Linked DNA regions of Macaca fascicularis. The protein of the gene in region 1 interacts with the protein of each later gene in a pairwise test. Links are inferred from orthologs where the notes say so. Each region holds a gene or a part of one and is shown in the gene's direction. Other genes may lie near its edges. The genes, in order: FHL5 and CREM.

Region 1 (3,829 bases):
TCACTAGAATAAGGCAAAACGCATGAGAATAACAGTTCAAATGTAGTCAGTACAAACTAGTATCAAAAACGCTGTTGTATCATCATCGTTAATTGCTCCTCTGATTTTGCCAAAATTAAAAAAAAATTCTGTTGGGAGAGAATTAGAAAATATTCAAAGCTCCTAATATATTCCAGTAAATCCTGAGATGACAAATCTCATTTTCCGAGGAAAAGCAGTACTACTTTTTTTTTTTTTTTTTTGTAACAACAAAGAATTCATGTTCAACGCCTAATTAAAACCTTTGGAAATCTATATGCGTTGTTTCTTAATGGCTTTCCAAATTTACAAGACAATCAGAATCCTTATCTACCACTGGCTTTAGGTTTCATATCAGCTTTTTTATTCACCTTACAGAATGATTTTCACCTTGCAGATGAATTCTAGCTATTTTATCCATAGCTATAATGGAATAGCTGCTGCTATTATTCATGCTCTATACATGTTACTTTGGCCCTAAAGCCTGAAGGAACCTATTATTGTTTTCTACCACTGATGATTTTATATGCACTTCTGCATTTGGGCAATTGTTCAACAATAGTCACAAAGACCTAGCACTTGTTCAGAATCCTACCTGCTGAGGAGTTTTATTTGGCCAGCTTGGTAAAAGATATTTAAATGAAGATATCTAAAGCTAGTAGAAAACAGAGATTTTGGAGTCATCAGCACATTTGGGATGGTGGAAGTCACAGCTAAGGAGGGGATGTGGTACAGGAAGACCTTGGGGTAAATGTGCAGAGCCCTTATTCAGTGAAGACTCGAATGACAATGTATTGATTATTAATTTATATTTCAGTAAAAAAGACTGTTTTTCCATCAAAATCTGCCTCTAGAACTTTCCAGCAAGAAGTAAGTGATGAGAGTTATTAAAAGCCCTAGCAACAGTTTATATTTATATCCTTGAGGTAAAACCATCCTGTTTCAACAGATACCATATTCTCATTGAATTCCACATTAGCTTATGATAAACACAAGATGTTTTTCATAATCTAGCTGCAGGTTTTATGCATTTTTTTAGCAAAACACACAAGAACTGCCAAGATGGGAAAGTAACCTTTCCTAAATCACTCCAAATGTCACCATGACTAGAAGCATATTTTCCTAAATTGGTGGATTTTTGCTTAAGAAAATATAAATTCATCCGAATGCTTCACTCACATTATATTAAGGTTTCATCATTTATCCTATAAGCAAAATTCTGCTTTTATATACATGAATCACTTTGTCATTCACAGGATCAAACCAAAATGACAACTGCTCAATTTTACTGTCAATACTGCACAGCATCACTTCTTGGGAAGAAATATGTACTAAAGGATGACAGTCTGTTCTGTGTTACATGTTATGATCGTGTATTTTCTAACTATTGCGAGGAGTGCAAAAAACCAATTGAATCTGATTCTAAGGTAAGTCTCAACACAATTTACAGAATTACTGCATATGAACGCAAACAAGTGGGTTGGAGTGCCTCTTTTCCTTTAGTGTTGACTTTCAACACCATTTCTCTGCTACTGGATATACAAGGATCTTAAAAGTTACCAGCAGTCAAACTCTAGCCACTACACTTAGCACTATGAAATACAACATATGCTTAATCCTCACATGATCTTATAAGGTAGCTGAGAATGCTAAAGATTAATGATGTTAAGCTATTTGTCCAAAGTTACACAGCTAGAATTTTCCTGCTGTTTCCAAGCCCTTGGTAACCCTCTGGGTGTGTTTGTTATTTCTGGAATGACAAGGGTATAAATAAATGCATAAAGAATTGAGGTTGTAAGGATTCAAAATCTCTTTTCTGACGTAAAATCAGCTTTATTTCTACTAAGCCCTACTGATAGCTCTCACTCCTACCACCCATTCCTCCGACATGCTTTTCTTTCTTTCTTTCTTTCTTTCTTTCTTTCTTTCTTTTACTTTCTTTCTTTCTTTCTTTTTCTTTCTTTCTTTCTTCTTTCCTTCCTTCCATCCTCCAAATGTCTTTCTCTCTCTCTCTGTCTTTCTTCCTTTCTTTCTGCGTTTGCATTACTTAGGTGATATTATTTTTTTGTTTGCTTTTTAGATAAGTCTCAAAAAGTAATAGAACATTGTACCCCAAAATTTTAAAAAATCATTCCACGAAAAACCTCTATCATAGTTTATAAAAAGAATATAGGCAAATTTTGAAGACACAGCAGAGAATTCATTTGTTTTTTCCCAGCTGCCTTAAGTGACCCACCAAGAAAGCCCTGGGCTCTAGCTCTTAATTACCCCAGAGAGTCTCCTCTCTATGGGTAACAGTTTCAGTAACAACTTTCCCTCAAGCTACTAGCACAACCTACTGACATGAGAGTCCCAGGAGTGTTCAGTTTTGTCTTATAAAATGTCCTGTTTTGTCACAACCACATTTAATTAACTTTTATTTACTGTCTCAAAGGATCTTTGTTACAAAGACCGGCACTGGCACGAAGGATGCTTCAAGTGCACCAAATGCAATCACTCTTTGGTGGAAAAGCCTTTTGCTGCCAAGGATGAGCGCCTGCTGTGCACGGAGTGCTATTCTAATGAATGCTCCTCCAAGTGCTTCCACTGCAAGAGGACCATCATGCCTGGTAGGATCTCAAGGGGGCTCCTGTCTCTAACTGAAGCTGCCATGCTTTTCATTAAGTCCCAGCACATGAGGAGTGCTGCAGCTCCCAAAACCCTGGTTTTGAGAAAGACACCTTTCTTACTCTCTCAATCTCCTTCCGTGTACCTTAGAAATAAAAAGATTGTTCATTCATTATCCTTGAATAGGTAAATTACAGTGTTCTGTGTATTTTCATAAAGTCTAATTCATTGAAACATTTCAAACCAGAACCTCACCCATAAAATAAAGAAAAATTTATAGCAATAATACTACATTAAACGCAGTGCCCTAGGCATAATGAATGGCATCAGAAAGAGTGATTCATCATAGGCGACTGGGGCCAACTGTCATTTTGTAGCTTGACACAAACTGTTTTGGGGATCAGTCATTGTTATTCTCTCTTAGGGAAGACAGGGTTCATGTATATCATTCCACTTTTGGCAAGGACTAATTCTTTATATTTTGATCTTCTTCTCAATCTCTATGGACAGCAGCATAAGAACATAATTCAATCTTACTGTCTCACTCTTTCTCTCTCATTTTCTTATTATGGATTCAGAGATTTTCTAGAAGGCCATAACTGCACAGCGTAGTCTCAGCAGTTGTGCTCAGGGCATTTTTAATACCCCTGTAATGATTTTGATGGCCCAATTTATCCAAACCATGTAAAACGATTAGGAGTCTTCATTCGAAGTACTTTTACATCTCCAGATTATAGGTTATGAAGGGCTTGAAAGACTTTTCAGTGTAAGAGTGATTCTCCATCACCATGGCTGAACTTTACCAACCTTTTCTTTTTTTTTTTTTTTTTTCTCAGATGAATGGGTTTTTTTGAACCTGAAAAAATGCTATTTTTCTAAAAGGACAATTCATTTATCATCTTAACTTAAAACGTCTTAAAGTAATTTGATCTGTATTATGCTTGACTTATACTAACAGGTCCTTAATTTTGGAGTACAGGTTCCCGCAAAATGGAATTTAAAGGAAACTACTGGCATGAAACCTGTTTTGTGTGTGAGAATTGCCGACAACCTATAGGGACAAAGCCTTTGATCTCCAAAGAGAGTGGCAATTTTTGTGTGCCATGTTTTGAGAAGGAGTTTGCTCACTACTGCAACTTTTGTAAGAAGGTAATTTTCTAAAGAGGGTGAAGCTTATGGAAACTCAGACCATTTCTTTTTAGCT
Region 2 (3,829 bases), on another chromosome or scaffold:
CCTTAGTAGGTAGATACAAATTTATTTAAAATTCAGTATACATAATTCTTAGATGATTTTATTGATGTATCCTTCTCAGATTAAACCTTGGCTTTTGTAGATATAATTATTATTGTGGTTGTGATCCAGAGATGTATTTTACCCTTAACATTTCTTGAAGGTAAAACATTTTTTTCCATCAATAGATGTAAATTATTAAGTATGCATTTTTTTAAAGTATGCATCTTAATTACTGAATTTATTTTTGTTCCTTTTTAAGGTCAGTTATTATCCTTTAAATGCTGAAATTATCTGAACCTAATTGATGACCAAAAAAAATCTGTGAGGAAAAGGGAGACACATATACATAGTGTAGTCCTTTTCCCGCGTGTTCAAGTAGTTTATCACAGGAGAACGATGAGAGTGGCAACAAGATACCTGACGTGACAAATTCACGTATGTTAAAAGCTTGATTATCTTTGTGGCATGGGTATCTTCTCCTGTATTGCCCAAAAGTGTAAGAATAATTCTCATCATTATCTTTTTTTCCTGTGATGGCCCCTGATTCCAAGAGTTTCTAACTCTTTCTGACACTAATTATAAAACAAGAAAGTCTTTCCTACCTCTTCTTTGTTTTATGCCTTTTATTGGGGTCCACATATTTCTACTGAGTTTTAACCTGGCTGGTATTGGAAGAAAGTATTGTCTATTAATTTTATTATTTAATAGAGACAGAATTCTCAGTATGTTACCCAGGTTGGTGTTGAGCTCCTGGCCTCAAGTGATCCTCTTGCCTCAGTCTCCCAAAGTGCTGGATTACAGGTGTGAGCCAGAGCACCCAGCTGAAAGAAAGTATTCTCTTATATTCAGTAGGCTTTGTTTGGATTTTGTTAAGTGAATGATCTAATTGTCCTTGTAGAAAGAGGTGCCAGTGGATCTTGTCCTAGAATACTTAATCCCTCTGCATGAACTTTAATTTTCACCTTTTCTAAAATAGATAAATTAATAGCCTACCTCACCTAAGGGAGTTGTTATGATTCTATGACAGATGTGTGAGAGCCCGGTGTAAAGTGATAAATACTTAATATTTGGTGGTGATATATGATTATCTGAGGCAACAACATTTTTTTCAGTAAGTTCTGTTGATTGAGTGTGTGTGCTTATGTGTGGGGCATTCATGAGCAAAGATGCAGAGTCATATGTGAAGGTGAATATACACCTCCGTGTACTTTGGGAAGTATATATTCTTGCTTGCATTGTTGATATTTTGATAAGCTCTTTTGATTTTATCCAAATCAGTTTCCTATGTACTTACAATATGAAGTGAGTTTTGTAAACTCTGCTACCCTAGGCCCTCAAAGTATTAATAATTGACTGAATATATCGAAAGCAGTCATGTTGTTGAAGAGATTCATTGTTTTAGTTTTCTGACTTCTTTAATAATCATATCACTGTATTATTACTTGACTTGAAAAATGAAATCATGCTTAAAACTCTGATCTTTCTCTTAAGGAGAAATTCTTTATTTGGATCTTCAAGACCTACCACCACCAAACCCTAACTTACTCCTTGTAATAGAAATCCTAATTTTACCCAGGCTTGCTTACTGACTTGCTTATCTACTTAAATATTCTGTCTTGGGCCTATCTGATAGCTAATGTGAAGACCCAGCTCACGCCAGTGCCAGCTGTGTGAGAGTGGAGACAGCAGTGTGATCCAGGAGCTCTCTTCTGCCTTGGCCCCTTGCTGGCTCCCTCCTGAATCCGTAGGAGCACTTTCAGGTTGAGAGCTTAGGTCTTGGGTATTTTACATTTTGTTCTTTGCTGCAATGCCTCATTTGACATCCCAACCACTCTTTCCCTTGTATTTCTGTAGTATATAGTACCCGTATCATTACTTTCCACACACGTTTGTTTTATAACTGAAATGTTTGTGTCTGCACTTCCTTTCTTGAGCCAGACTCCTTTAGTGCAGATTCACCGTGTTGTATTGCTTGGTTGCTTCCACAGTGCCTGGCTCAGTGCTGCACACGCAGACTCTTAGCCTCAATTTTTTGAATGAGGGAAAAGAACATATATTTTATGATACATTTCAGAAAATCTTGTATTATAGGTAGCAACAATTGCAGAGACAGATGAATCTGCAGAATCAGAAGGTGTAATTGATTCTCATAAACGTAGAGAAATCCTTTCACGAAGACCCTCTTATAGGTAAGTTAACCAAGTTTCCTACTGTAAAGATACTTTTTCCAAAATGGTAGAATAATTATTCATCAAATCAATTCTTCCTTTATAGCTTTTCTGTTTTAAGAGTCAATTCATGTATCTTAGTGACTTACATTGTTAAATTATATTTTAGGAAAATACTGAATGAACTGTCCTCTGATGTGCCTGGTGTTCCCAAGATTGAAGAAGAAAAATCAGAGGAAGAAGGAACACCGCCTAACATTGCTACCATGGCAGTACCAACTAGCATATATCAGACTAGCACGGGGCAATACAGTATGTATGCTGCAATTCGATATGATACAGTGCTAGCTTTAAGTCTTCTCTAGTTATATTGAAGCAACTCAGGTTTTGGCATTAAATTGTTCCATTTTTAAGTGCATCAATACCTAAACTGTATCATTGAATGAAAGTATATGTTAAAAAGTGAGATATTTGTATTGACAACTATCATATAATTTTGAAAAGTAAAAATTTTAACTGCTGAATATAGAAGAAAAATTTGGAGTAAAAATAAAGGGAGGATTTTTTCCTACTTACATGTTTATATTAATCTCTAGTAAAACATTGTTTTTGTTGTCTTTATGATGCATGCAAACATAAATGTCTGTATTTCATTCTTGTTGGCTTCTGTTACCCACAATTACATACTATACTTACTAATCTAAGAGTTTTCTAAAGTATGTTTTCAATGTTTCACTACTCTCTGTTAATTGGTGCTACAGTTTTTCCTAAAAGAGAATGGAAAAATGATTTAAGTTTTTAAACTGTAGCAATTGGATAGATAATTTTATTTGAAATTTTACACACCAAAAGTTCTAAATAAACAGATACATTCACATTCAGTCTTGTGCATTTTAATGGACTGTTAATTCTGTGCTTTTAGCTCTGATTAAAGCACTAGTTTTTTCCCAAATGAAAAATGTTTGATACATAAAAATAGTAAAAACCAAGAGCTAGAAAGAAAGGAAAAAGGAAGAGAAAGGATAGGGATATCACATATCCTAAGCTAGCCACTTAGGTACTGGAATAATGTGATATTCCTGTCCTTTCTGAAGTATAAATTGTCCATGGAAATTGTCCAAATCAGTTTCCCATGTAATTATAATATGAAGTAAAGTGAGTTTTGTAAACTCTGCTACCTTAGGCCTTCAAAGTAATTCACTGAATATATTGACAGCAGTCATATTGTTGAAGAGATTCATGATTTTAGTTTTCTGACTTTAAAAAGAGCTACTTAGGTACTGGAATATATGTGATATTAAATAATGTGTTTATCCAATTAAGGTATGGAGATTTTAGATATATTCTTTGTTTTTCCTTTAAAAAGTAGCAATACCAAGGAAAAAAAATCTCAAGTCTTAATTTAAGTCCTGGCTACTAAAACAAGCTATAATTTTTAATATATGAGAAGACTTTATGTAGTCATTTTTTTTTTGGAGCTTTTTAGAGTTTTTCTTATAGCATTGGTAGATTTGCAGTTGTAAACTATTAAATACATTCTCTGTTGGTAATTGAGGGGAACTCCTACCATGATACCTAGTAGATCCGGGGTGTAGTATATTCACACCTTCTACAGGGCACCCAGTAGACTTGTCCAAAGTCAGTGTTAGGAAAAGAAAACT

Evidence for each region.
Region 2: the proteins of FHL5 (region 1) and CREM interact in a two-hybrid assay, tested with the Homo sapiens proteins (2 studies listed by BioGRID). The link is inferred for Macaca fascicularis from reciprocal best matches to the Homo sapiens genes FHL5 and CREM.

What each region holds. Positions count from the first base shown.
Region 1 is NC_088378.1:78,729,534-78,733,362, reverse strand, and holds part of FHL5 (four and a half LIM domains protein 5), read left to right. Parts: intron 1-1,274; 5' UTR 1,275-1,286; coding exon 1,287-1,445; intron 1,446-2,452; coding exon 2,453-2,627; intron 2,628-3,604; coding exon 3,605-3,774; intron 3,775-3,829. UniProt on the Homo sapiens protein: May be involved in the regulation of spermatogenesis. Stimulates CREM transcriptional activity in a phosphorylation-independent manner.
Region 2 is NC_088383.1:35,955,282-35,959,110, forward strand, and holds part of CREM (cAMP-responsive element modulator), read left to right. Parts: intron 1-2,091; coding exon 2,092-2,189; intron 2,190-2,337; coding exon 2,338-2,480; intron 2,481-3,829.